Linked DNA regions of Ovis aries. The protein of the gene in region 2 binds, or shares a complex with, the protein of the main gene of each other region. Links are inferred from orthologs where the notes say so. Each region holds a gene or a part of one and is shown on either strand. Other genes may lie near its edges. The genes, in order: EIF4G1, EIF4E and EIF4EBP2.

The links.
Region 1: the proteins of EIF4E (region 2) and EIF4G1 are in contact, whole or in part, in a crystal structure (PDB 5T46), measured with the Homo sapiens proteins. The link is inferred for Ovis aries from reciprocal best matches to the Homo sapiens genes EIF4E and EIF4G1. Residues at the interface, in NP_001959.1 of Homo sapiens: Pro31, Tyr34, Lys36, His37, Pro38, Leu39, Gln40, Phe47, Lys49, Arg61, Leu62, Ile63, Ser64, Val69, Glu70, Trp73, Ala74, Leu75, Tyr76, Asn77, His78, Ile79, Gln80, Leu85, Tyr91, Glu132, Leu135, Ile138, Gly139, Glu140; in NP_937884.2 of Homo sapiens: Glu608, Lys609, Lys610, Arg611, Tyr612, Arg614, Phe616, Leu617, Leu618, Phe620, Gln621, Phe622, Ile623, Phe624, Ala625, Ser626, Met627, Gln628, Lys629, Pro630, Leu633, Pro634, Ile636, Asp638, Val639, Val640, Leu641.
Region 3: the proteins of EIF4E (region 2) and EIF4EBP2 are in contact, whole or in part, in a crystal structure (PDB 3AM7), measured with the Homo sapiens proteins. The link is inferred for Ovis aries from reciprocal best matches to the Homo sapiens genes EIF4E and EIF4EBP2. Residues at the interface, in NP_001959.1 of Homo sapiens: His37, Pro38, Leu39, Gln40, Val69, Trp73, Tyr76, Asn77, Leu131, Glu132, Leu135, Ile138, Gly139, Glu140, Ser141, Asp143, Asp144, Ser146, Asp147, Arg186; in NP_004087.1 of Homo sapiens: Pro47, Thr50, Arg51, Ile52, Ile53, Tyr54, Arg56, Phe58, Leu59, Leu60, Arg62, Arg63, Asn64.

What each region holds. Positions count from the first base shown.
Region 1 is NC_056054.1:203,653,385-203,663,218, reverse strand, and holds the start of EIF4G1 (eukaryotic translation initiation factor 4 gamma 1), read left to right. Parts: upstream 1-4,024; 5' UTR 4,025-4,093; intron 4,094-4,913; 5' UTR 4,914-4,970; intron 4,971-5,191; 5' UTR 5,192-5,225; coding exon 5,226-5,285; intron 5,286-5,577; coding exon 5,578-5,664; intron 5,665-6,767; coding exon 6,768-6,944; intron 6,945-7,176; coding exon 7,177-7,276; intron 7,277-7,609; exon of another isoform or gene 7,610-7,676; intron 7,677-8,348; coding exon 8,349-8,461; intron 8,462-9,260; coding exon 9,261-9,353; intron 9,354-9,550; coding exon 9,551-9,617; intron 9,618-9,834.
Region 2 is NC_056059.1:26,237,110-26,247,122, reverse strand, and holds the start of EIF4E (eukaryotic translation initiation factor 4E), read right to left. Parts: upstream 5,064-10,013; 5' UTR 5,051-5,063; coding exon 5,033-5,050; intron 1-5,032. UniProt on the Homo sapiens protein: Acts in the cytoplasm to initiate and regulate protein synthesis and is required in the nucleus for export of a subset of mRNAs from the nucleus to the cytoplasm which promotes processes such as RNA capping, processing and splicing.
Region 3 is NC_056078.1:25,809,979-25,819,756, reverse strand, and holds the start of EIF4EBP2 (eukaryotic translation initiation factor 4E-binding protein 2), read right to left. Parts: upstream 6,636-9,778; 5' UTR 6,344-6,635; coding exon 6,199-6,343; intron 1-6,198.

The DNA.
Region 1 (9,834 bases), on a different chromosome or scaffold from region 2:
CCTGCCTGGGCACTAATCACTGAGAAAGAATACACGAGCAAGACACATTTAGGGGCAAAAGGCGGACACTATCCAAGTAGGGAGAAATGACACATTTCTATCTAGGCATGCATAATTTAAGATGCCTAGGGTGATTAGGCAGGCTACAGTCCATGGGGGTCTCAGAGAGTCAGACACAACTGACTAAGCACACAGCAGTGTTTTAGGTAGTACCTTATTCTGACGGGAGTTTAAGATTTAAAAGAAAAATCTTAAAAGTATTGAACTTGTTAAAATAATTGCTTCTGTTTTATGTTTAGGCTTTTTAAAAAAATTTTTACTGTGTTTTTGGATGTTTGTATAAAGAATATTGAGAAGGGATCTATCATTGTTGACTTTTTAAATACTCTTTAAATTAAATTTATTTTTAATTTAAGGATAATTGCTTTACAGCATTGTGTTGATTTCTACCAAAAATCATGTTTCGTTTTGTTGGCTGTGAGGTACGGGGGAATCTTAGCTCCCCAACCAGGAAAGAACCCACACCCCTTGCACGGGAAGGTGAAGTCTTAACCACGGGACCACCAGGGAAGTCCCCTGCCTGAAGTTTCAGAGTGATTTCTGAGCTAAGAAGGAATCGTCATGTAAGCAGTAATTGATTTTTATTTATTAGTTTTCGTAGAAAGAGAAATGAGAACAGAGAAGGGAGGCAGCCATATACCATAATGTACAGAACTCCAAGAATGTAACAGAGAACAGCTATATGTACATTTTCATTCTCCTTATGGTTCTTCCTGTGTGTCTATTTTTGCTCTTCTCTCTTTGGAGCTTAAGTTACTCTGATACAGTTCAGTTCAGTTCACTTAAGTTGCTCAGTAGTGTCCGATTCTTTGCGACACCATGAACTGCAGCACGCCAGGCCTCCCTGTCCATCACCAACTCCCGGAGTTCACTCAGACTCATGACCATCAAGTCGGTGATGCCATCCAGCCATCTCATCCTCTGTCATCCCGTTCTCCTCCTGCCCCCAATCCCTCCCAGCATCAGAGTCTTTTCCAATGAGTTAACTCTTCGCATCAGGTGGCCAAAGTACTGGAGTTTCAGCTTTAGCATCATTCCTTCCAAAGAAATGCCAGGGCTGACCTCCTTCAGAATGGACTGGTTAGATCTCCTTGCAGTCCAAGGGAGTCTCAAGAGTCTTTTTCAACACCACAGTTCAAAAGCGTCAATTCTTTGGTGCTCAGCTTTTTCACAGTCCAACTCTCACATCCATACATGACTACTGGAAAAACCATAGCCTTGACTAGATGGACCTTTGTTGGCAAAGTAATGTCTCTGCTTTTGAATATGCTATCTAGGTTGGTCATAACTTTCCTTCCAAGGAGTAAGCGTCTTTTAATTTCATGGCTGCAATCACCATCTGCAGTGATTTTGGTGCCCCAAAAAATAAAGTCTGACACTGTTTCCACTGCTTCCCCATCTATTTCCCACAAAGTGATGGGACCAGATGCCATGATCTTCATTCTCTGACTGTTGAGCTTTAAGCCAACTTTTTCACTCTCCTCTTTCACTTTCATCAAGAGGCTTTTTAGTTCCTCTTCACTTTCTGCCATAAGGGTGGTGTCATCTGCATATCTGAGGTGATTGATATTTCTCCCAGCAATCTTGATTCCAGCTTGTGCTTCTTCCAGCCCAGCGTTTCTCATGATGTACTCTGCATAGAAGTTAAATAAGCAGGGTGACAATATACAGCCTTGACGTACTCCTTTTCCTATTTGGAACCAGGCTGTTGTTCCATGTCCAGTTCTAACTGTTGCTTCCTGACCTGCATACAAGTTTCTCAAGAGGCAGGTCACATGGTCTGGTATTCCCATCTCTCTCAGAATTTTCCACAGTTTATTGTGATCCACACAGTCAAAGGCTTTGGCATAGTCAATAAAGTAGAAATAGATATTTTTCTGGAATTCTCTTGCTTTCTCAATGATCCAGCAGATGTTGGCAATTTGATCTCTGGTTCCTCTGCCTTTTCTAAAACCAGCTGGAACATCTGGAATTTCATGGTTCATGTATTGCTGAAGCCTGGCTTGGAGAATTTTGAGCATTACTTTACTAGCGTGTGAGATGAGTACAATTGTGCAGTAGTTTGAGCATTCTTTGGCATTGCCTTTCTTTGGGATTGGAATGAAAACTGACCTTTTCCAGTCTTGTGGCCATTGCTGAGTTTTCCAAATTTGCTGGCATATTGAGTGCAGCACTTTCACAGCATCATTCAGGATTTGAAATAGCTCAACTGGAATTCCATCACCTCCACTAGCTTTGTTTTTAGTGATGCTTTCTAAGGCCCACTTGACTTCACATTCCAGGATGTCTGGCTCTAGGTGAGTGATCACACCATTGTCATCTGGGTCATGAAGATCTTTTTTGTACAGTTCTTCTGTGTATTCTTGCCACCTCTTCTTAATATCTTCTGCTTCTGTTAGGTCCATACCATTTCTGTCCTTTATCGGGCCCATCTTTGCATGAAATGTTCTCTTGGTATCTCTAATTTTCTTGAAGAGATCTCTAGTCTTTTCCATTCTATTGTTTTCCTCAATGCAATTTCTTTGCATTGATCATTGAGGAAGGCTTTCTTATCTCTCCTTGCTATTCTTTGGAACTCTGCATTCAGATGCTTATATCCTTTCTTTTCTCTTTTGCTTTTCACTTCTCTTCTTTTCACAGCTATTTGTAAGGCCTCCTCAGACAGTCACTTTGCTTTTTTGCATTTATTTTCCAATGGGGATAATAATACAATGCATAGTAATACAATACATTTTGTAGGCTATTGTGAAGATTAACTGAAATCAGAAAGGTCATCATTGGTGCAACATGTTTTCTGAGATTATATGTGTTTGAATACAAAGAGTTGGGTGGGAAGGAGAGAGAGAAAATAGCTTTTGCTAGGTACCTAGGCACAGTTTTAAGCACTTTCACAAGAACTAACTTTTTTAAACCTCACAATCCAATAGCGGGAAAGCAGGGTGGGTAAAAGCTCAGAATTGAGGCAGACTGCATAGTTTCAAATACTCCCATTTTACAACAAGTATTAAGTAGGGAGGTAGTAGGTACATCGCTGGGAGAGTAAGCAGAGAAATTTGGATTAAAACCAGGCTGACTCTAAGCAGTTTTGTCTTTAGTATGTCCCTTCAGGCAGTTCAAAATTTTTTGGCTGCCAGGGAGAGGTCTTGGATTTACTTATCCCATCACTATTTGAACTTTCCATGACTGATTTTAGTCCCTCCCTGGGAGTGGCTGATCTTTGTAAAAGACAAATCTAACTCCCTACTTGCTGCTGCTGCTAAGTCGCTTCAGTGTCCGACTCTGTGCGACCCCATAGATGGCAGCCCACCAGGCTCCCCTGTCCCTGGGATTCTCCAGGCAAGAGTACTGGAGTGAGTTGCCATTTCCTTCTCCAATGCATGAAAGTGAAAAGTCAAAGTGAAGTCGCTCAGTCGTGTCTGACTCTTCGCGACCCCATGGACTGCAGCCAACCAGGCTCCTCCGTCCATGGGATTTTTCAGGCAAGAGTACTGAAGTGGGGTGCCATTGCCTTACTCCCTACTTAGAATATTTCAATTCTTTTAGCGTTATCACCCAGTTTAATAGTTCTATATCTAATTTACATTATTTTCAAAGGCTACCTAATTTGTCTTTTTTTCCGTTTTTGTCCATGGTTTACTTGGCGGGACCGAGTCTTTAATGTCAGTATTCTCAACCCTCAGCCAGCACTTCGCCTAGCACTCAGTATGCACTCAATAAATGCTTGCTCAAAGTATGAATGAACCAAAGAATCGCGGAACACAGACGCGGAGACGGGTCGGCCTGGGAGTTCCAAAGTTCGGGAGGGGACAAGAGGCGGGCAGTGGCTGTCACATGATAAGGCGGGGCAAATCCCATGTGCTCCGCGGCGCCGGGCGCTGCTCCGCCCTCTGCGCCGGTCACGTGGGGCTGCCGGCTGCGCCTGCGGAGAAGCGGTGGCCGCCGAGCGGGATCCGTGCGGGGAGCCGGAAATGGTTGTGGACTACGTCTGTGCGGCTGCGTGGGGCTCGGCCGCGCGGACTGAAGGAGACTGAAGGTAAAGCCGCCATGTCCGGGCCCGACCCGGCCCCCCCACCCCCTCCCCCCGCATCCGCCGCCATCCGGGCCGGGATCGGCTACCCTGCGCCGCCGCCCCAGCGCCCTGGCCCCGCGGCCCAAGCCCGGGCCCCGGCCCGCCAGGGCCCGATCCCCGGCCCACGTGTGCCCGGCCTGGCTCGGCCTGGCTGCTGGGTGGGGGTGGGGGAGCGCGGGGCCGGAATATGCGGTCCCCGCAGGCCGGGAGGGCGCCGGGTTTCCCGGCCGCTAAGTGCCACCTCGGCCCGACCCGAGGAGGCCTCGCGGGCGCAGGCACCGCGGCTCCCGGCCCGCCGCCCCCTCCCCCCTTTGCGGCCCGGCCGCCGGGAAGTGACACGTTGTTCTTTGGCACTGGCCGGCGCTGCGCAGGGAGGGCGCAGGGGAGGGAGGCGGCGGCGGCGGGCAGGGAGGAGCCCCCGGCCCCGCCCGCCCTCCGGGCCGACCCTCACTTGCTTCAGACCGGCTCTTCTTCGGCCGCCGCCCGCCTGGCCTTTTACGGCCCGACTGCCGCCTTTCCTGGCCTCCACTGCCGGGCGGCGGCAGGCCTCGCCTCTGGCCCCGCGTGGGTGCCTCCGCTGCTACCCACGGCAGGCGTGCCTCGTGTGCCCCTGGGCCAGGCCCCGAACCCGGTGTCCCCGGGTGGGGGGTGGGGACACCACGGCCGAAGCTGCTAGCTCCGTTTGTGATCCGGGAGCCTGGTGCCAGCGAGACCTGGAATTTCCGGTCTGGTTGGTCTTGGGCCCCGCGGAGCCAGGTTGATACCCCTCACCTCCCAACCCCAGGCCCTCGGATGCCCAGAACCTGTAGGCCGCACCGTGGATTTGTTCTTAACCGAGGGGGTGAGTGAAGGGCTGTTTCAGCAGATCGAGGGGTGGTTGGAGGTGGTGAGGGTTTGACGGAGTGTTGGTGGGGACATAAGCTGGGTCTTTAATGTTCCTTTACCCCCTTGGCGCCTCCCGGGCTCATTGTGGGACCCAGCCCTTGCTTCAACCCCTCCCCCACTCCATTTGCCTTAAGTTTGTGTCCCTTTCCTTTTCTGAGCCTCACTCTTTCCCAACAGGTGCTGGGGGGACCCTGATGTGGCACCAAATGAAATGAACAAAGCTCCACAGCCCACAGGCCCCCCACCTGCCCCATCCCCTGGACTCCCACAGGTAATTAGGGAGGAATTAACAGGGACTGGGGTGGGGGTTGGGGAGACCAGGCAGCCGGGTCAGGAACAGGTTCCAACCTCTGGATTTTCCCACCCCCTTCTGTGTCAGGGCAAAGTGCAGCTTCCTGCTGCCAAATTGAGACAGGGCCCCCAGGCTGTTCCCAGGGGCTGTCTTGGGGAGGGTATATGTGGACTGTTGAGGCTCTTGCCACGGATCTGCTCCCCTTCATCAGCTTGAGTTTCTGCACCACCTGGGTTTCCCCTCTTGCTGAAATCTGGTCTCCCCCCTTCAGCCAGCGTTTCCCCCGGGGCAGACAGCACCGGTGGTGTTCAGTACGCCTCAAGCGACACAAATGAACACGCCTTCTCAGCCCCGCCAGGTGAGGGGCTGTGGGGAGGGGAGTAGGGGGCCTGGGTGGGAGCCATGTAAAGCTTAGGCCAGTTTGGGCCTAGGATGGAAACTCTGGAGGCCCTGTACCTGCCCCAGTTTCCTGACAGTTGCTATGTGTTCTTTCATGCGGCTCTGCACTTTGCACTGTTGATTACTCACGGTGGCTGGCCCCTCGGAGAGTATGTTGTTGGTGGGGATGGCATTGCTAGGGGTTCTGGTGCCTTGAGAACTGGGGGCAGCGCTTTGGGCCCTGCTGCCAACTCCTGCTTTCCTATTTCCTCCTTTTACTAGGAGGTCGCCATTGCTCCGTTCCTCATCCCTTCTTTCTCTTTGGACTGTGGGAAGAGAAACATTCCAGCTGGTTCTTACCTTTCTCTATTCCTAAATTCTTCCTCACTAAATGGGAGCGGATTCTTGTCCTGCCTCCTCATTTTTTTCCCCCTCATCACCTTGGGGATAATTCTCTTCTTTCCTGTCCCCATGTGCTCTCAGGGAGGATTCAGGTCTCTGCAGGTAATACCCCTTTGCTAATCCTGGACTCTCTCCTGGTCTCACCCTTACCCTCCTCCCTAGTCAGGGGCTAGACGCAGGGACTGGGGTTCCTCAGGGTGGGGACTTGTTGGTTGTCCAGGTCCTCAGTCTGAGGCTGACCAGTGCATGTTAGGGGCTAAATCTTGCATAGTGCCTATCTGGGAACTGGGAAAGTTGCATGTTAGCGGTTAGCTCCTCAGGACGTTAGGATGGTGCAGTGCATGCTGGGGAGTATGCTGCTGAAAAAGGCTTTACTTAGGCATGATGCATCTGGGTGTTAGGAAGCCTCTGCTAAAGGATAGCGTGGAGGAGGTGACATGAGTATGCATGGCAGGGAGGGAGTAAATATACCGAGTGCAAAGTGTGTACCTGAGTTTGGAGGGCACACGTGAGTTCAAGAGGCCACTTAACCATCAGTTGGTCAAGTGAGTCTTGGCAGTGTTGGTCCCATGTTCCAAAGCCCCTGGTACTTCTCTCCAGACTAGAGACATAGTGGAATGGCCATTTTGCTGTCCACTTCCTCCCCTGCCCAGTGCCAACTGCCTTCCTCCCTCCTGACAGCACTTCTACCCTAGCCGGGCCCAGCCCCCGAGCAGTGCAGCCTCCCGAGTGCAGAGTGCAGCCCCTGCCCGCCCTGGCCCAGCTGCCCATGTCTACCCTGCTGGATCCCAAGTAATGATGATCCCTTCCCAGATCTCCTACCCAGCCTCCCAGGGGGCCTACTACATCCCTGGACAGGTGAGGCTGGAGGCTTGGGTACTGAAGCCACACAACCTTGTCCCCGCTCCCCCACCTCCCCCAACCCGGATCCTCCAGTCCCATCTCTCCTCTAGAGGTGGGACTTTCTTCTGGTCATTGCCCAGAGTTGGCTTGTCCTGTCTTGCCCTGCATTCTCTTTGTAGTCTGATGTGGTATTCATAGCTCCCTCAACTCCTTCTCTCCCCTCCTTATCCCCCATCCCCTCCATCAGGGCCGTTCCACATATGTTGTCCCGACACAGCAGTATCCTGTGCAGCCGGGAGCCCCAAGCTTCTACCCAGGTGCAAGCCCTACAGAGTTTGGGACCTACGGTAAGCGGGGTCTGAAGTCGGAGAGTGAGTCCCAGGGAGCATTTAAACTTGCCTAATTTCTAGGACCCTTCCCAGGCCTGTCTCTTGCTCTAAAAATGATAGCGGTAGTCAGGATTGGTGCTTAATATGTAACTGGTATTGGGGGGTGGTGGGGAGAGGATTTTACACTATTGTTGAGAGTTGTAGAATCCTCCCCACATCAAGGAATATAGTTCAGGTGCTAGTTTGAGGACCTGTCAGTAAATATTCCCTGACACTTGTTCCATGGTTGGGGGGAGCCCATGTAACATGGATTTGGGAGGTTTCTGTAGCTGTTTTTCATTTATATTCTAGGAAAGGATTAGTCTGTTCTTTATGGCAGTGGTTTCCAAAATTTTTTGACCATCAGGAAAAATTTTGAGTATGTACTTCTAATACGTGTATGTTTTTGTTTGTTATACGTATGCATAATTTAAACAAATAACAATGTTGCTTGTCAAAAACAAGTGGAGGTTATGGATGATATTAAAGAATGTATCCCATTTTGGAGACCATTGCTTTAAGGAATTTTCCTCATCCTGGGCCTGGTTCATAATGTTACTTTTTGTTTCCTTGCCCCTTAGCAGAGGGCTGGAGACTGGAATTGGACTCAGGTTGAATGGAACAGGGTTGGCAAATCTGTTTTTATCATTCCCAGCCAAAGACCTGATTCTGTTTCAGGTTAAGTAGTTGCTGCTCTCTAAGAGTATATGTGTGTGTTTGCTGGGGGTGGGATGCATCCATGTTACCTTACGGGGTAGAAGAGGAACAGACATAGTAGCTGGTGTGTGGTGGGGAAGGAGTGCCTGCCTACAAGGGGTGTGTGTGTCAGTGTTAGGAATTCTTGTAAACGCAGTTCAGACTGGTTCCCCAGCTTTGACAGACACCTAATTCCCTTGGGGAGGAGGAGGGTGGGGCAGGGTAAGGGGCCGGCTATGGGTGATGAGAGGTTCTCCGGGGGCTGGGAGGCATTTGTGCTCAAGCAGGCATTTGTATGTGGTTGGGCCCTGACCCTGCCACTATTCTTCCTTTCCTTGTCCCCCCCTCCCCCAAGCTGGCGCTTACTACCCAGCGCAGGGTGTGCAGCAGTTTCCCACTGGTGTGGCTCCCCCACCTGTTCTGATGAACCAGCCACCCCAGATTGCTCCCAAGAGGGAGCGGAAGACGGTGAGTAGCAGCAAGGGGTTGTAGGACAGCTGGGAAAGCAAGGATCAAGGTCAGGCACTTTGTGGGTCAGGGAGCAGGAAGTTGAGGGAGATCTTCACCTGAGAGTAGGCAGAGAATGGGGATGTGCGAAATGCTCAGGTTGTTCTTAAGGTACTACGATTTCAGTATGGAAGAAGCTCACTAGAAGATTGAAGTGTCTGGTAGGGAAATTCTTGAGAGACCTGGGTTCTCTGTCCATAATATCTAAGTTTGGTTTTGGGTTTCTGGTGGCTTGCCTTGAAAATGGTTTGTTTTCTGTGTCCCCACCCCCCAGTCCTGGAAGCTCTTGAGGCCTCCGCCCCTGCTCAGTCCTCAAGCCCTGGGCGTGGTGCCCAGAATAGGGTGCCAGGGCTGGGGAAGCCGCTGAGTCACCCTGGCTCCACCCACTGGATCTGGGCCCTGCCCCCAGAGATCAGGCAGACTAGCCACAAGTGAGCCGGATGGGTGCTAGATGGGGGTCCTGGGCCCCCAGGCATGCAGCCACTTCTTGGGGACTGGTGGGGCAGGGATAAGGGAGGGAGGGGCATTGTGATGTACGTGTCTGCTCTGTGAGGTCAAGAGTGTCTTAGGGGTGGGGGCCAGGGCAGAGACTACAAGAGCTGCCGGATGGGTTGACAGTAGAACTCACAGGGTTTCTGGCACCCACCCACCTGCTTCCCAGTAGGGGGTGGGGGGGTTGGCTTGGAGTCTCAGGAGCGGGGCAGGGTGGAGAGGTGGGCTGCTCCTGTTTCCCACTTATCCCGTAGCTTTTTTTCCCCAGATCCGAATTCGAGACCCAAACCAAGGAGGGAAGGATATCACGGAGGAGATCATGTCTGGGGCCCGCACTGCCTCCACACCCACCCCTCCCCAGGTACTGTCTGTCCTTTGAGTGATGCCCTGACTGGGATGGCTGTTCTTCCCTGGATTCCCAGGTCCCTTGATCTTTTTCTTCAAATAAGGGATTTATTTCCCTGCTTTCCTGGATTTCTAGGCAGCTAAAGTAGAAATGGCTGTAGCAGGGTTGTGGGACTCTTCAGGGCAAACTTGGTAACCCTTTGTGTTCTGCAGACGGGAGGTGGTCTGGAGCCTCAGGCTAATGGGGAGACACCCCAGGTTGCTGTCGTCGTCCGGCCAGGTAAGTAAGCAGGTGGGGCCTGGCTCTTATGGGGAAAAGGAGTGTTGAAAATGCCAAGGAAGTAGAGTGACTTGAACTGGGTGTCAGAGAAGAATGACTTAGGTCTCAAGTATAGTAGTATTTAAGGGCAGATTGGATTTTGAGTGGGAATGAAAAAGACCTAGGGGGAGAAGACTGGTATGTGTAGGAGGGGCTATTAGGTTGGGAATGCTTGGCT
Region 2 (10,013 bases):
TGCTTAAGTTAAAGTTCACTATTACAGACTATTATTTAAAAGAACATTTCTATTAAGTCAGTTGCTTAGAACTTTAAATCTGTAGCCCTGGAAATGCAAGGCTGGTTAGATCTGTTATAATTCCACAGACTCTTAGTGAACACAGTGAGCAAAAACTACAGCTTCCCACTGTTTCTATGAAAGATGTATCAAAAGCTCCAACTGGGGGGAAAAAAATCTTATTTTTCTGATCACATTCTCAGGTTCTAGAAGTAAGAGACTAGAAATGACTACATAGTACTTAAGAGACAAAAGTCATCTTTTTTCTCTAGACACATATAGGAACTTTTAAAGAGAACACTGCTGATTTTTACTGTAAAGAGAAGATACTGAATGGGTAATAAGTTTTGTATTTCTGAATAATGGCAAAGAAAAGAAAAATAAAGTCAGCTACGTGAATCTCGTAGCAGAGATGAAAAGGTAAGCATACCCATGCATGAATACACCTGCATGCAACACATCGACGGAATATTAACTTTATCTAGTTCTTCGTAACTGACAAATTGTCATCTCTGAGCATTGCATTTGAAAATCAAAATCACTATCGTATTCCCATTTTTCAGCTAGCCTTAGAAATTTCAAGGTCACATAGATATTAAAATTAGACTGTAAATTCAGGCTCATTTCCACTTCTCAAAAAATTCTCTATGACAAAGATGGAGCAACTCCAAAACAGCAAGAAAATTTCCAATAGAAGCAGAGAAGGAGAGGAAAAAATTACCATTGCTATAACTACTACTTCACAGGTTCCTTGTTACATCCAGGACTGTAGGTACTTCTATATTCTTAATCTTATATAAATTAAATAGAATACTTAACAAACATTTTTTGTGTGTGTAGAGTTTTCTATCCAAACTGGATTATGGTTACATAATTCATTAAACATCTTATTCTCTGCAACTTTGGAGTGCAAACTATGTCTGTTTCTAAGCTGGACTTCTCTAAATCAAATAATTAGGCATAATATTAATTCAGAGTAAAAAAACAAAGTAAAATGTAAAATATAAACACTAGAACCAAGTTTCTTTGACTGATGAATGAACTCTGATAACACTACGTTTTCTTAAAACAAAAACACCCATATTAATATGCAAGATCTGCTTGTCAATAGTCTTTGTTTAGCAAAAAACATCACCTTATATAACATATTTGCCACATGAATTTAAGATTTACTTTTTATAAACTCTCTGCAAAACATGTTTCTAAGGGATAAAAAGGAAACATTAGATTAGCTGACTGTCCAAGTGGATTCCACCTATGAAACAAAGGTATAGTTTAAAAAAATTGAAAAGATACAATGTAAAAGCAAGTAAAATTATATACCTTCAGTTTAACTAAAGAAATAAAAATATCTTATCTTTAAAAGAATTACAAGTCAAAAAACAACCCAATAATGAAGAAAACAGAATGAAGATAAAAGCTACCAAAACAATGTCCCACTGGAGGCAAGATGGCCTGCCATTTTTATCAACTGATATTAAATCTAACTTTGATCTACTCACAAGCTCTAATTCTGACCTGGCCACAATTCAAATGCCAACAGAGTAACAGGAGAGTATTGTTCAAAGTTTTACCACAGTACCTGTTAAGATAAATGGTTCCTTTAATTTGCCTATCAACCTTCTTAACAAATTTATTATCATTCAGTATCCTTTCGTGTGTCCCTGTGTTCTGTCGTGCTTTTGAACTGTGGTGTTGGAGAAGACTCTTGAGAGTCCCTTGGACTGCAAGGAGATCCAACCAGTCCTTTCTGAAGGAGATCAGCCCTGGGATTTCTTTGGAAGGAATGATGCTAAAGCTGAAACTCCAGTACTTTGGCCACCTCATGCAAAGAGTTGACTCATTGGAAAAGTCTCTGATGCTAGGAGGGATTGGGGGCAGAAGGGGACGACCGAGGATGACATAGCTGGATGGCATCACTGACTCGATGGATGGGAGTCTCAGTGAACTCCGGGAGTTGGTGATGGACAGGGAGGCCTGAGGTGCTGCGATTCATGGGCTGGCAAAGAGTCCAAAACGACTGAGCAACTGAACTGAACTGTGTTCTGTCCTGGGTGTTTTTTTTTTAAGTATAGTTGATTTACAAAGCTGTGCTAATTTGAGGTATACTGGCAAAGTTTTAAATCTATACACACATACATTTACCTTCTTTTTCGTTATAGTTATTACAAGGCACCGAATATAGTTCCCTGTGTTATAAAGCAGGTCCCTGTGCTCTATTTTATATATCATGGTGTGTTTCTGTTAATCCCAAATTTATCCCATCCTCCTCCCTTTCCCCTTTGGTAACCAAAAATTTGTTTTCTATGTCTGCGAGTCCATTCCTGTTTTGAAAGTAAGTTCATTTTTATCATGTTTTTTAGATTCATTAAGACACATCTTAATTTAACTGATCTCACATACACACACTTGATAATCACATAATATCAAATTGACAATGACTGATATTTTACATAACTTTCAGAGACAAAAATTCCCCAAATGCCAACCAAGGTGGGACAAGCAGGAAAAACCTATGAGTCTTTAGGTGCTTATGATTATGCCCAGCAAAAAAGGAATAAGGAAACTCACAAGCTAACTGAAATAGCAATGAATAAACACACTTTTTTGTAGGCTTTTACAGGGATACTTCAATTGCAACAAATACTATTCAGTTGCTTGAAAAAAAAAATCCCACTATTTAAAATTGCCAAAAAGAATTCTAAACGACTAATCTGTGGACAAGGGTACATTAAAAATACTAAAAACAAAACAAACAAACAAAAAACCGCATTTTTTACACTAAAAATGAACCCTTTAAAGTATTTTACAAGCATCCTCAAACTGCTATAGTTTCAATCTGGCTCTCGACTTTCACAAACCAGATTTTTATGTTCCCTACTCCCCAAATTTAAATGCAGTGTTCAAATCTCCCAAGGGTCAGCAACTAGAAGGAATACTATACTGTATCACTGACCAGGATCACTAGAAATTAAGCTTCTAAAAGTTTACACTGAACAAGGTATAGAATCCCATTTTGTATAATTTGTATCTTCAAGAGCACCTGGTACAAACTCCTAAACATATCAGGGGCTATAAATATTTACTGACTGAAAACACTCCTTCAACACTTTGTAGTTTTGCTCCCTGCTGTTGAAACAAAATAGCATAGATTTGCAAAACCCAAAGGACCTAAATAAATATTACTGAAACTTCAGAGAATACATTATTGTTTAGTTTAGAGGGTTTAGCCTTGCCCTTATTACCAGCTGTAAGCTTTTAACTGATGCTAGTACAGAGGGCAAAAGAGTTGTAAGTAATACCATAACCCATTAAAAGGTTTTAAGTTTAAGGTTTTACATATTTATCGTTTAGCTATTTAACATCAATGTTCTAAAAATCAGTTAATTGTATCAGCAACTTAAGAGTTTTGTAGTCAATCTAATTTCCAGGAAAATAAACGCATACTGGTACCAATAAAAGAAATAATCAAGCTTTCTGCCTTGAACTCTGGCAGGAAGCTCAAGATAGTTCACATCAATGTAATGAAAAATAAGCATTTTTGTATTCTACAGACCTTTCTATACCTCGTTTTCAAAGTAGTTATAGAAGTCTTTAAAGAGTCAAAGCAAATTGGGAAGCCATAATCAAAATCACAAACTATCATTAAAGATATACGAAAACATCTGGCAACGAAGGTCTGGAATTAGTTCCAGATATCAAAGGTTTTCTGGTGAATGTATTACGCCTCTAAATTATCACTTAGATGGCGACATTCCTAAAACGGCAACATAAGCCTGGAAGTTTTAGTGAGCCAGTGCAGGCAAAACCAAACTATGACAAAGATACTCTCTCCTTTGAGCGGTAACTTTGTGCTCTGGGATCAACTTGCTTCAGAGAAGTTTAAGATGGTACCTAAATTGGGAGGGAAACCAGTAGAACGGATAAAGAGAAAATCAAATGGAAAATTAACTCGAAAAGTTAAGTTTCTATTTCCAATAAACTGCTCTGTGATATCTTCCAGACGATAAAGACTCGGAAGAACAGACGGATCTAGACCCAGTCCCATTCTCTGAGGCGTGCGCACAGCGCGAAGATGAATGAATGGAAGACAGGCGCGTGTGAAATGCAGCCGGTCCGGCCGGCAACCAGACCGGCAGCAGCTCTCCGTAGGCCTCGCTCCTCCCCCTTCCCTCCTCCATGACAGCCCGGTCTCGAGCACGGAGGGGCGAGGACAATGTGGTCCCCCTTCTAACCACCCCCCAACTTTCATCCTCCTCTCAGAGGTTTACCGCGCAGCACGGGGTTCGCCTCCCCACTCCAAACCTTTCTCGCCTCCCCTGCCGCCAACCCCGGCAACTCTCCGACGCGCTGGAGTAACATGCGCTCGCCCCTCTCGGCTCCCCTCGGCGAGGTCGAAGCTTCTCCGCGCGTGCCGCGGCACCACTCCCGCCCAACCCACCTTCTGGCAACGCGAGCCCACCGGCCTCCCGGCCCACGGGTCTAATGAACCCCGGCACGCGCGCCGCACCCGAGTCCCTGGGCTAGAGAGAGGCTCGGGAGGGAGAGAGGGAAAGGCTGCCCCGGGGCGCCCTCCTCCATCTCATTCCAGGCCGGCTCGCCGCCCACCCTCCCTGCGGATCCCGACGCCTGCTCGGAGCCGGCTCCGCGCCCTCCTATCCCGAAAACACAATTCCCACAACCCTAGCCCAGGGCCCCGAACACCCTCCATCCTCGCGGCCCCCTCAAGGCTCCGCCGGAGGCGCCGCGCCGCCCCTCCCCCACTCCTCTCCCCGAGCTCTCGGGCCCCCACCAGAACGTGTGCTCCACACGCCGTAGCGGCCAACCTCCGGGGCGCCCCCAGTTGTCCGCGGGGAGGTCAGGCCCAAGAAGAGGGGGAGGGGGCGGCAAGGGGTAGCATGCGCGCCGGGAACGCCGTCCCGCGGGGTCCCCCAGTCCGAAGGGAGACCGAGCGCGGGGACCGGTGGGGGTGGGGGCCAAAGGCAATACTCACCGGTTCCACAGTCGCCATCTTAGATCGATCTGATCGCACAACCGCTCCTGAAGGGGGAGGGGGGGTGAGAGGAAAAAAAGGAGATTCAAACCGGATTGGCCGGCTACTGTTCACGTGACGGACGTATCCGTTTGGCCCTGGCGGCGCCTGCGCAAGACTGCGGCTGCGTGTTTAACGAGAGGCTTCTGGGAAGTGAAGTCTCTCACGCTCCCTCCTTTTTTTTTTTTTCTTTTAGGCAAAGAAGTTAAAAAAAAAAAAAAGAACTGTTCACGTGGTCGGTGGGTACGGTTCGCGGTTCTCGGAGCGGCGGACACTTGCGTTCTGCAGGGTGGTTTTCAGTCCTCTGGTCTTCCGCCTGGATAGATGCTGTCGCACTTACTGCCAGGCATGCCTACTGTGCCCTTTGTCGCCCTGTCCTCCCATCTTCCCCGGAAGGTTGAGAACCGAAGGCTCAGCACGCTCAATAAGGCTTCATTTGCTTAGTTGAGGTCCTAGGACGAGTTGCCTGTGTGTTTATTTAATTTTCTTTTGACTTCTCACCATTTTCTCTTAGTTTTAAAAAGAGTTGGTGATGGAGAATAGTTGTTTGAGCAACTATTATTCAACCCTCCCCGGTCCCTTGGCTCCGCTAACACTGGTGGTCACTCATTGCCATCACTGCGAAAAGGGGGTGGCGGAACCGCCCACAGTACCCACTTGCCACAGGTTGGGGGAGGGGGAATGCACCCAACAGCTTTTCCTGTTTCAACTCCTGAAATTAAGACTTCAGGGTTAAATCTTGAGTGGAAGTAAAAATGATTTGCAAGTTGTGTCCTCTCGCTTCCACTGTTCTGCTTTAACGTGAACGGAAACAGCCCAAGTCCAGGTGCCAGCCAGGGAAGCCACTCCGGCCCCCGCTGACTAAGCCCTGGACTGACCGTCAGGAGTCGTTAGGCTAGGTCAACTATGACTCTTGACGTTGACTCATTCTCGTTAGGCAAGCGACTTAGTCAGTGCCTCAGCTTTTTCATTTATGAACCACAGGTAATAATACACTTACCTCACAAGGGTTTGCTGTGCTAGTGATTGTAACCAGTTTTGAAGATGCATCGGACTCTATAAATGCTTCACTATAAGCAACCTCGTGTCTTCCTAAGGATCAGCGGCTTCCCTTAATGTTTTTTTTTTTTTAAACAATTAAAATTTTTTTCTTTTGTGTATTTTGTTTCATTATCGTATACACCAACGCAATTTTAAAGTTTCAAGACAAGACCCCCCCCCCCCACTTTTTAACTGTAGCTACCCTCCACAGAGACTTTAATGTTCAGGAAAATATTGTTATATTCACAATAATCACTGGCAATTAGAAATTCATCCCCACTATGGCATCCTACATTTCCTTTCCATGTAGGATACTGTGCTGTCATTTCTCAAGACAGTGTTACTCTGCACGGTTATAAATAGAGGTAAAGATATCTAGTAGAGTGCTACTCTAAGGTTTAATGATACTTTCCATGCTTTTTAAGAATGTTCACACCAGAAAAATAAGTAAAAGCAGGTTGCCTGTGCCTGCCTGCTTGCTGTGTTGCTGATGTTCTTAACTGTGTCATACCTATTATTGAGTACATAATGGTTGCTTGAGTTGACTAACACATAATTGAGGCTGTAATAAGAACTCAAAAACCATGGCCTGTTCATATGCTTTGGTTTACCTGGATGTCAGAGACAGTTAATGGAAGCTTCTGACCAGTCAGTTTAGCTTTAGTAGGTTTAAAGTAGAATTCTGAAAAAATAAATGGATAATATGGATTTCTATTTACAGACTATCTACTTTTAGCCTATGCAAAGTAATTACAGTCGATCTCAGTCTTACTTTCTGTTGTTTAAAATTAGTATCCTGTTACCCGCTCTGACTATATAGTATAGATGTATTATTTTCCCAGTGCTACAAGATAACAGAACAAAAGAGATTTAAAATTTAAAGAGATTTTAGTCCCCATGTGGGATTGAAAACCAGTGATGTTTTTAAAACTTGTGTTTAATGATAGCTTCCATTTTATTAGCTTTGCTCTTGATAAAACACACCTCACTTTTATCAGTCATCTTAGTGCTTCTACAATATATGTGTATATACTCCTATTCTTTGTAGCTAATTTCTATTTTGTATGAGCTTTGTTGCATGTGTTTTATGGCACATTCATATGTCTGCCTAATATTACCATCAGATTCTGCCATGTCGAAGACTTGGTGATTAGGTTTTTAATCTATGTATCTATATGGTTGTTTTGTTTTAGCAACCTGAAATACACAGAGCAGAAATTTTATACTTTATCTTTTAATCCACAGAAAAAGTACATTTTTGTGCTTGTACTTAAAGCATAATAACAGGATATTTATTATGGGATATGGTATTAAAATGCTTTTATAAAAAAAATACTTTTATACTTATTGGGGTTATATAATTAATACATAACTAATGACCCAGCACAGTATCATGGTGAAGTGAAGTGAAATTATTGTTTTAAAAGCCTGGAATAATTTGGTTATCATTTAACATCTGTAATTAGTCATGATCTTTTCTTTGCATAGTATATTCCTGAAGCTGATACATTACTAGTCTTTATAGATTTAACTCTTGGTAAAAAGACTTTAAATAATTTAATAAAATACATAATAAAAACCACATCATTTTTATCATGTATTTTGTCATTCAAATTTTATTTAGATTTTCTAGATAACCAAAGTCATTGTTTTACTGGGCACTGTTTAACTCTGGTTCAAACTAATCACATCTGCCATGATCAATCCCTCAAAAATATTACTGCAACACGGTCTAGAAATTTTTTTAAATAGGCCTTGGAATTTTAGACAATCTATTTAAATTAGATCCCTTTCTTAGACTCTGACTAGTACAAAGCAATCATTTGTCTTAAAATGAGTAGGTTTTGAGACTGAAGATATGAAATTCCATAATAAAGTAAATGATTCTTAATATTTTAATGTTGGGTATTAATTTTAGAGATAATCTAAATCAACCTCTAGTTAACACTTTTTAAAAAACCATTTCACTTTTTTTTTCACTTTTTTCACTCTCAAACTTGGTTATACTTGACAGTCTATTTTTTAAATTGCTATTGTCACTTTCTACAATGATATTACTTTAGGAAGGACCTAAAATGATGGCTTCTAACATGATGAATAATCTTTTAAATTACAATCAGTTTAGTATTTGTGAGCATGAGCTCCAATATCAAATTTTCTTGGTTCATAATCCTCATTCTACCATTTACTGTGTGACCATATGGAGATATCTGTCTCTTTCTGCCTCATTTTTTGTCATGAGTTAGATGGGGCAATAACAGTACTTACCTTGCATGATCAGGGTGAGAAATAAATTAACCCATTAACATGCTTAGAATAGTTCTTAGAACATAGTAAGCACTCTATGTTAACTATAATTACCATGATAAAATATCACATGAATATAAATTTCTTATTTCTACTTTTTGTATAGTATAATATGCTGAAAATAATATGCTTAAAAAAAACCCCACTCACTGTCTTTAAGCATAATTAAACGTTATCACCTCCATCTTATAGACAGACAGACTCAGTAAAGTTAGGGGACACAGGCAAGTCCACCAGGCAATGGTGAGCCGGAATCCAAACCCAGTTCTCTCGACTCTAAGATATTCTTTCCTCCATACCAGAGCTGCTTTCCTCCAACAGGGTCTTCCAAAATACCTAGGTCTCTTTGAAGAACTTTTAATATTAAGTTCAATTACAAAACTTGACAATTCAAGAAGTACTATGTTAGTAATGGGAAATGTGTAATATTCAAAGGATATTGAAAGGACATGGGACGCCCAGGCACTTCCTTTCTGGCCTGTAAAATCTGTTTGCCATCCTAAGTCATGGGTATATAAATAGTTCACTACCCATATAAAGAAGTGTGACTAAGAACCGAAAGGGTGCAGCTAACAAGCAGCATAATAAACGCTCATTCACCTAATGATAGAGACAGTCACTTAGCTTCTTCCCTTATTGCATTCAGATCTCTGTTCCAGTGCTGTCCCCTGAAAGAAGTATATTACTATTTATCCCCTTGCACTGCTTTATCAGACCACTTTGTAACCCTTGCTTTAAACCCAATATTATACTAAATATTATTTAATTGTCTGTTGTCTCCACTAGCAAAATATTAGCTCCTTGATGATTTGCAGGTAGATTGCTAATCAATATTTGGGAAAAACCCAAGTCTGATTTTTAAAACTTCACCAAAGTCGGGCCTCAGGACTAATAATGCAATAGAAAAAATTTCTATGTCCAGGCATCATATAAAGCAGTTTACATGTGTTGATGATACCTCATTTTATCTTCAAAAGAACTTTCTGAGATAATGAAACTGAGGTTAAATAACTTTCCCAGAAACACAGCTCTGCCTTCAGGGCTATTAACAATATATGATATTGACTAGATTGTAATTGGACTGCCTAATAAGAAAGTCAGACACCGGAAACCATGAGAAATAACCTGCGAAGAGGATGTGAAAAATTCATGTTTAGTACCAACAATTACTATAAATACACTTAATGTACCTTTTAAAATTGAAATTAGAAAAAAATTTAAATGTATGGGATGCAATCATAGTCTATAGAAATAACCCACATGATTGTAAACACCCAAAATTCAGAAATTTGGGTGGAACTTCAGAGAGGATTTTCTGAAAATCCATGACTGCATTTTCATTGCTACATACCTGAGTTAACTGCTTACACTGAACTTGTCTAGAGAAAGAAATGTATTAATGGGTGGAAGTTGATCTGCTTGCCATGTGTAACAGAAGAATCCAGGATAACAAAATTTGATGATCTAGCATTGTTCTGGTGACAGAGTAGTTGTTGTTGTTCAGTCGATAAATCCTGTCTGACTCTTTGCTACCCTGTGAACTACAGCATGCCAGGCTTCTCAGTCTATCACTATCTCTCTGAGTTTCCTCAAA
Region 3 (9,778 bases), on a different chromosome or scaffold from region 2:
AAAAGGTACCTAGATCAATGAGGAAGAAGTAAAACTATCTTTATGCATAGATGACTGTGGTCTTGTATACAGACAATACCAAGGAATCTATAAAATTTGCATTTTCCAGTTACTGATTCTTGTTTATTAAGCATTTTACTTTTTAAAAGAACTCAATGACATGAACAGCTTTAGTTCATCAGGGCATTTGTCCTCAAGATCTAAAAGACCATTTATTTAGACATAAATACTCACAAATTTCTGAGCTTTTGGCTTCAAACTGTGGCCTGAGAACCAGGTGAAAAGGGCCTTTAAAAACTAGTCCTGTATCACATAAATCAAAGCAAGATCCTCTATGACCCACCTCCAGGGTAACAGAAATAATAAAAACAAAAGTAAACAAGTGGGACCTGACTAAACCTAAAAGCTTTTGCACAGCAAAGGAAACTATAAGCAAGGTGAAAAGACAACCCTCAGAACGGAAGAAAATAACAGCAAATGAAACAACTGACAAAGGATTAATTTCCAAAATATAAAGCAGCTCATAAAACTCAATGCCAGAAAAACAAACAACCCAATCAGAAAGTGGGGAAAAGACCTAAACAGACGTTTCTCCAAAGACTTACAGATGGCTAACAAACATGAAAAGATGCTCAACATTGCTGATTACTAGAGAAATGCGAATCAAAACCACAATGAGGTATCACCTCACACAGGTCAGAATGGCCATCATCAAAAAGTCTACAAACAAAAAATGCTAGAGAGGATGTGGAGAAAAGGGAACGCTCTTGCACTGTTGGTGGGAATGTAAATTGATACAGCCACTATGGAAGATAGTATGGAGACTCCTTAAAAAACTAGGAATAAAACCACCATATGACCCAGCAATCCCACTCCCAGGCATGTAACTGAGGAAACCAAAATTGAAAAAGACACATGTATCCCATTGTTCACTGCAGCACTAGTTACAATAGCCAGAACATGGAAGCAACCTAGATGTCCATCGACAGATGAATGGATAAAGCAGTTGTGGTACATACACACAATGGAAACATTGCTAAGTCACTTCAGTCGTGTCCGACTCTGTGCGACCCCATAGACGGCAGCCCACCAGGCTCCCCCGTCCTACTCAGCCATAAAATGGAACCCGTTTGAGTCAGTTCTGATGAGGTGGATGAACCTAGAACCTATTATACAGAGTGACGTTAAGTCAGAAACAGAAATATCGTATTCTAACGCACATACACGGAATCTAGAAAAATGGTACTCAAGAATTTTTCAGGGCAGCAATGGAGAAACAGACACAGAGAATAGACTTCTAGTCATGTGGAGAGGGGAGGAGAGGATGAGCTATATGGGAAGAGTAACACGAAAACTTACATTACCATATGTAAAATAGATAGCCCACAAGAATTTGCTGTAAGGCTCAGGAAACTCAAACAGGGGCTCTATCAACCTAGAGGGGTGGGATGGGGCGGGAGATGGGAGGGAGCTTCAAAAGGGAAGGGATATATGTATACCTATGGCTGATTCATGCTGAGGTTTGACAGAAAACAACAAAATTCTGTAAAGCAATTATCCAATTGCTTTCTTCTTTCCAACCAGGTGAACTAGTTTTCCCACGTTAACTTTACCCTATCTTATCAGCAAATCTTACTTTTTTTCATCACATCACAGTCTTTACTGCTGATTGGCGGTGAAGAATCTCTGATATTCATTACTGTAGCTATTTGAGTTCCCAAAATTATTTTGGCTGAGTCCATATAAAAACAGAAAATCTGACAGTCCTTAGTTATTGATTATGACATGTCCACATACCAAAATATTTTTTGTCCATACAAATCCACGAAGCCTGAATTTTACTCAAGACAGAATATCAAAAAATTGAAAGGACATGATCTTTACACACACACACACGTAGTCAAGCCTACAGTTGTCTCCAAACCATGCAAGACCCCTCCCATAAAATCATTTTTAAGACATCAGTCCTCAAAAAGTCCTTGCAGAACGCTAGCAGTGCCAGCTTACAGATGCACGTTTCACCCGTAGGCCTTGGGAGAGCAGAAGGGAGTTGCGCACTACCAGCCTGGGTGAGCTCCGTCTTCCCTCATCAGGTTGTGTCTCACCTGGAGCAGGCAGAGGCGCTCTGCTCCACACAATACACTGCTGCCCACCCTGCAGCCGAGGGCTGCTGCCTTCCCGGGCAACCTCTCATCGGCAAACACGAACCCAGCACAAATGTGCACCCACCGCAAAACTGAGCTACATCTTCTGGTACACACTTTGGTGGCTGATGAATATGAGACTAAAGCCAAATCTCCTCTGGAATGACAACACATGTTAATTTTTGTTACTCTGAGGTAAGTAAATGCCATCTTCCTTGAACACAAAGCAAAGTGACTGAACAACTTTCAACACGTTTTTCATGCACTTCAGTTAAAAACTGAAACTACAGAGCCAAACAAGTACATTTGCTGGTTCAGAAATTTTTGGCTAGAATAAACTCAGGTCACTGTATTAGAAACTTTATAACAGTGAGAAACTGGCCTTCCTTCCCCATATCTACAGAGCTCTATTCACTTCTCCCAACCAAGGAACTAGATTAACACTCAGGACTCTCCCCAAATACTCTTACTTTATTATGGCTCACACCAAGTGGATTCCTTTCCTTTCTTCCTGTCTTCTCCTTTATCCCCAGACCCTTCCAATGGCCTTCAGGGAACCAACCAATTAGAGCCAACTCTTCAGCTGGCAGACAGGATGCGCAAGGGTGTGAACAAGATTTCAGACTAACAGTTCCCTCTGGCGCTCGTTAAGGCAACAGCATACTTTCCCACAGCTGAGGAGGATGTTAGGCAGGAAAAGTAAGGCAAGAAGAAAGGCTCAAAGAGGTCTCTTTGTTCATTCCCCAGAGCACAACCCTCTCAACAAGGAGACAGTTTGAAACTCATTTAAAAAATAAATAAATAATAAGGTAGCAAAAAGTATCACATTATCTGGCATTCCAGAGGTAGAAGAGCCTTCTTAAATGTTTGCAAACTTCCTTTCCTAGGAAAATGTGCATCTTAAGACAGCAGAGAAAAAACCTGGAATAGGAATGAGGACACTAAGTTTGAGACTACCAACTGACATTAATTAGCTGTATGACACTAACAAGTTACTCAATTTCTCTCAATTATAGAAGGAAAGCATTAGGTCCTTTCCAGCTAACCAGACTGTTACAAAAGTGAAGCAGACTGTAATAACTTTACCTTTCATTGAGGCTAGAAGCAGCTTCTCAAAGGATGAGCCAAATGTCATCCCTATTCCTCCAAAGGCAGATAAAACAAAACAAAATAAAAACCCAAGGGCGTTTTGCTTTGAACTTGGTCAAAAATTTTGTTCTTCCTTAATAATGAGAAAAGGGTATGCTTCTAAAAACATGGGAAATGTAAGAGGTTACAGAAAGTTTTCATTTCCCAACTCTCATTTTCCAACCACAGAAGGCAATTTTGAGAAGTCTTTTCAAGGGTAAGCTGTATCCTCTGTGGGGAGATGGCAAGTTCATCATGTTGTCAATGTCTCTGCCCAGTCTGATCATACGGGGCATTCAGCACATCAGCGGTTATCTAGAATGCTCTGACCTGTGTATGACACGCTAGAAGCTTGAGACAGGAAATTCTAATCCCCTTCCTTCCTACTAAATAGAGATTTCCAATGCAAGCCTACTATCACTTTCTAAATGTTTTCCAAGTCTGAAATATGTAACTTAGCACTTGGCTCTATAAGCTTTTCATTTCAGAACTAAAAAGCTTTTCTACCACCAAGATTTTAAGACCACTGAGTGAAGATTGCATTTCCTACTTTTGTCTGTGGTCCCCTTTTGTGCAAAGCACTGCCCTGGACCCACATAACTCACTGAAGATACATACCTAACCACATCAATTCAGGTGCCTAAAGGTGACCAATAACCATGATTCAGGGAAAGAAAATTACATAGAAGAGAGGGAAATGTAACAAAAGAAATGAACAAATCATCAGAAAATTGGAAATTTTCCAAAGGGAGGGGGAATTAAACCAGTAAGTACTGCATATCTAGGTGGCACTGAGGTAACTGCTATAAAACAGTGTTTAAATCCAACCACAACAGTGCTATATCTTATAAACATATTAGGTAGGTCTTTGTGTTAAAAATTTAAAGATCACAATGTGCTCTACTAATAAATAACAGCTCTGTGTAACAGAGGAGCTAAGATTTAAGTATTTAAATCTGCAATTAAAAAGCAGAAACCATCTGGGGACAGGGTAAGTGATATTTGAGAAAGTAGATGAGGATTATGTATGTAGGGAGGAAGGATAAATGATTCAGTATTTCCGGCAGAATCTTTCCCAAACACTGTAGGAACTAATTCAGACTATCAGATAGGCTTGTATCTTTAAGGCACACTTAAAGACTATGCCCTTACTTTAAAACCATAGAAGCTTGGGTGTTTCAAATATGCCTAAAGGTGCCCCTGAGGTTTTTCCCTCAGAGGAATAATGATTAATATACAGCTAAAAGTTTAGTTCCTTCCGCAAATAATTATCTGCTACTATGACATTGGTTCTAAACTGCTGGAAGCACAGGCATTACAGAATTCACAAGGAATTCTGGAAGAAGTTATAAATTTCTTTCCATCACCTCGGAAAACAATATCCATTTCTTAAACGCTGTCAGCTCAAGTTCAAGACAACCTATGGAGAGCAGATCCTGGTTTGCCAAATCTTTCACGATTAAAAGGCGTGCTCAGAGGCTGGCCTTGACCCGATGAGGTCAGGAGGGAGGTTTCTCCAATGAGGTAAGCCACCTCACTAGAAACTCCACTGTTCCACAAAGTTAAAACTTCCTTAAGCCCAGTTCTCCACATATATCAATGAACGTGTCCAGCCTGGATCATTTGAAAGTATTCCAAGGCAGCCACGCCACCCCTAGAGTCGCCTGGGTGGATTCCTCTGTAGAGCTCTCTCCACAGATTTCTTATTCCTTGTTTGCAAGATCTTACTCTACCGTCTTGATATTGTGCAATGATTAAAAAATGGCCCAGGCCTAACAGCAAGGGATTGGTTGGAGCACAACTGGTGAGCCCAGCCCACAGGAACCAAGCTAGCAATCCCGTAGACAGCAAGGGCTGCCAGCAAAGTCCCAACCCTCTAGCCAGAGGCCACCATCAAAAAACTAAGTAACCAAGTTAAAAACGAAGCACCATTCCCCTCATGAGGTCCCTCAAGATCGCTCTCCAGTCTTCTCCCTCTGGAGAAAGCCCAGTCAGGGGACAGGCAACCTTTGAGCTCCCTTTTCCCGTGACCAATTAATTCCAGGCTCTTTACCTCTACCCCAGTGTTCTTCCTTGTAAACAGTCTTGGTCGCACTTTGAAAAGCAGTGCTCAGTGACCCCGTTCTGCACGGCCCCTTCCCCCGGATGAAGCAGTCCCGCCGGGGAGGGTCCCGTCTTCCACCTACCTCCACAGGCGTCGCCACCAAAACTCTACCCTCAAGGCTGCCAGCGCTCCTTTCCCTGGGCTATTACTTGAGCATGATTTTATCACTTCTCAGCCAGCCTGGGGACTCCCCCCACCCGTGGGGCCTCGTCCAGCGAAGTAAACAATGCTGTCAAAGCAGGATAACACTGGGCGAGGCTTCCAAACTCCGCATTCCAGCCTCCCCCCTCCTGGAGTTCTAGAAGCAGCAAAACAAGTCATCGCAGGGTCCCAGGAGCAAACTACTCGCCCCAACTTCCTTTCTAAAAAGGCCGGGAGACAGCTCCAAAATCAAGCTTCAGTGTGCACAAAGACACTATACGTAAGAGGCAGAGCGAATGCGGAGCGAGTGCAAAGCCAAGTGTAGACGAATTTGCCCTAGAGTAGGGGCGGGGGAAGGAGAAAACTGGGTCGAGTGCGTAAACCTGCCACGAAGCGGGAACAGGGGCTTTTTTTTTTTCACGAGAGGAGAGCCAGCCACGTTCCCAGAGTAGGCACGCACTAAACAGAGTTGCGGGAGAGAGAACGCGAAGTTAAGGTTCTCGAAAGCAGTCTCTAGCGGGTTTCGGGGGAAGCCCCAAGAAAGGGACTTTGGTGGAGCCGGGGTGGCCCGAGCGGCCCAGAGTGGATACGCCCTGAGTTAAAGGACCGTGGCGGGAAAGTGCGGGGACACCGCGGAGGTTAGCGCGGGCGCGCTCGGGCCGCGCGGGCGCCGACGCTCACCTCCCGGTGTGGTGGAGAAGAGCGTCCCCCCGGGCGTGGTGCAACAGTCATGAGGTAGCTGCGCGGCGTCGCTGATGGGCACGGTGCGGGTGGGGATGGCGCGGCTCTGGCTGGGCTGGTGGCCGCTGCCGGCGGACGAGGACATGGCTCTGGGCGCGGGCTCTCGGGCTTTGTCCGGCGGGCGGGCAGGCGGGCGGCGGCGGCGGCTGAGGGCCCGGGCTGCTCCAGCTGCTCAGGCGGGCTGAAGGGCGGGCGGGGCTAGGCGCGCTCCGCTCGCTCCTCGCTCGCTTCCTCTGGCTCCCTCGTCCCGCTCCGCTCCCGCCGCCGCCCTCTCAGCCGCCGCCGCCGCCGCCGCCCTATCCTCCGGCCTCCGCCAGCAGCCTCAGCAGCAGGAGCAGCGGCAGCAGCGGCGACGACGACGACGACCGGAAGCGGGCGAAGGCGGGAGCCAGAGGGAGGTCGGGGTAGCTGGTCGGCCGGACGTGACGTCACGAGGGCGGGTCCTGAGCCGCAAGGCTGCTGGCGGGGCGGGGCTTATGCCCCGAGGGCGGGACGCGAACCGGACTGAACCTACGCCAAGTGTTTGTGAAGTGGGCGTAGGTGTGCTTGGAAAACTTGTGTGGGCTTTTTATTTTTATTATTATTGTCAGTCAACACTATTTGAGTTGACTTCTGTTTCCTATATCGAGGCAAAGTGTTATTTTACTTTTAATTGTTCATTATTAAATGAAAGGAAAGTGTGCATGTATTAAAAGACGATCAGAATGGTTTATGGTGCCACCGTGCTCAAAGGGTAACAAATTGTTTCGATAAGAAGTCGGAGAGTAAATACTTTAGGCTTTACAGGCCTTATGGTCTCTGTGGCAAGTTTTCAACGTTTGTTGCTCTAGCGAGAAAGCAGCCTTCGACAACATGTAAATAAATGCGCGTGGATCCAGTAAGACTTTATTGACAAAAACGGGTGACCAGCTGGATTTGTCCTGTGGGCCATGGTTTGCAGATCCTGTCTTTGTTTTTGTTTTCGTTTGGTCCAGGTACACGTCTTATGATATCTTAGCTCCCCGACCAGGGACTGAACTTGGACCCGGGCAGTGAAAGCACCCAGTCCTAACCAGTGGACCACCAGGGAATTGTCCTGTCTTTGCTTATATTATACATTAATTCAACAAATCTTTAATAAGTACCTACTGTGTGTGTCAGGAACTTTCTAGCGGAGAAGGTATAGCAGTAAACAAGACAGAGGCCCCCTGGCTCAGTGGAGTGAATGTTCTGCTTGGAGCAACGGGGGCTCTCCTCCCCACCTTCCCTTCACTACCTAACCCAGACTGCTATTTAATACTTGGTGTGGGTGGCACTGGGCTTTCCAGGTGGCTCGATAGTAAAGAGCCTGCCTGCCAATGGCAGAAACATAAGACATGTGGGTTTGATCCTGGAGTCGGGAAGATCCCCTGGAGGAGGGCATGGCAACCCACTCCAGTATTCTTGCGGAGAATCCCATGGGCAGAGGAGCCTGGCAAGCTACAGTCCATAGGGTTGCAAAGAGTCCCACATGACTGAAGCAGCTTAGCACACATGCATGTGGGTTGGCCTGCTTTGACTTTCCTTGTGCTGTCAGAGTCGGGTCTTTGCCCTAGGAGCTCCCGTAGTGCCCTGTGCACACTGATGTCACTGGTACCAACCTTGTGCATGAGTGTTATCTACTTATGCCTCTGGTTCCCTTCAAGACTGACTACTTTAAAGGCAAGGACTGGGCCCATCCTCCCCTCATAGTTTGGAGCCTAGCTCAGAATCAGCCTGTGGTCTGCGGTATTAAATTGACCTTAAGAAGTCTTTGTGGAGACTGAGAAAGAAACATTAGACACAGTTGTGGGCAGTTTGGCGATGGAGGGACCTTTTCAGCTGAGAAGTTGTGTTTATCAGCTGGGTTATGTGTACCTCTTTCAAAAGTGCATGTCCACGAATTTTGACAAATGTTTATTTTACATCCTTGTAAACACCACCACACGGAAAATCTGCGACATTTCCTCACACTCAAAAGTTCCCTTTACAGTCATCACTTCACACCCCAAGCCTCAGCCTGAGAGAATCACTGATCTGCTGTCTATCGCTACAGGTTAGTTTTGCCTGTTCTAAAACTTTATAGAAATGAAATCACACTGTGTGTATTGTTTTACACTTGGCTTCTTCACATAGCACACTGTGTTGCAATATCAGTAATCCACTCCTTCTTGTGGCTGAGTAGTGTTCCATTTATGGATATACCACAGTTTATCAGATAAGAATTTAAAGGGAAAATATCTGTTGTTCCCTTTCCCAGAACCTACCATGGGGAATTAGGAGGGTCTTGGGTGGCGGCCTCAACTGTACAGGCTGTGTATTATCTCTTATATTAAGAATATTGTGGTTTATATTAGGAAATATGTATTTGTTCTCAGTCCCTGTTCCTAGCACAGAGCTCCTAAGACCATTAAGACTTCCTGAGGGATGAGAGTGATCTAGGTGTCTTTTGTGATGTCAATGTGACTTTTGAAATGCCCTTAGGTCACCCAAGAAGGAGAACTGGTCACCAGTGAAACCAGCCAGGTGATTTGGAGCACTAGAACTTTCATTGTCACCTCTCTGACCTCTGGGGAGGGCAAGGGCTGGAGAGTGAGTTCAATCACCAATGGCCAATGAGCTAATCAATTATGCCTGTGTAATGAAGCTTCCATAAAGATCTAAAAACGATGCACAGAGAGAGGCTCAAAGAGCTTCCAGGTTGGTGAACGTATGGAGACTTGAGGAGAGTGACGTGCCCAGAAAAAGCATGGAAGCTCCACTTCCTTTCCTCATACTTTGCCCTATACATCTCTTCCATCTGGCTATTCTGTTTTTAATAGTGTATTTTTTTTTTCTTATTGGAGGATACTTGCTTTACAATGCTGTGGTGGTCTCTGCTATACATCAATGCAAATCAGTCCTGATTATATACACCCCGTCCCTGTTCAGCCTCCCTCCTATCTCCCTCCACTCCTCTAGTTCACCACAGAGTGCCAGGCTGGGTTCCCTGCGTTTCACAGCAGCTTCTCACTAGTTATACACCTGGCTGTCTGAGCTATGTCCTTTTATAGTAAACCAGTGGTCTAGTAAATAGCAAGTTTCTCTGAGTTCTGTGAGCCACTCTAGCAAATTAATCAAATCCAAGGAGTGGGTAACTGGAACTGCTGATCTATAGAAGGTTGGTCAGAAACACAGATGACAGCCGGGACTTTAGATTGGCATCTCAAGCTGGGGGGCGGGGAGCCCTTAATCTGTGGCATCTGATGCCATCTCCAGGTAGTGTTAGAATTAAGTTGAATTATAGGGTACCAACCCAAACAAAAAACAAGTGTAAAAAAAATAGGGACTTGCTTGGTGGTCTAGTGGTTAAGACTCCATGCTCCCAATGCTAGGGGTGGGGGTATGATCCCTAGTTGGGGAACTAAGATCCCACATGCTGTGGGGTACAGCTAAACAAACAAAACAAAACAAGACCCAAGTGTACAGGGTACTCAGTTGGTCTTGGAGAATTGCCTGTTGGTGAGGGGGAAAAAAATTTTGG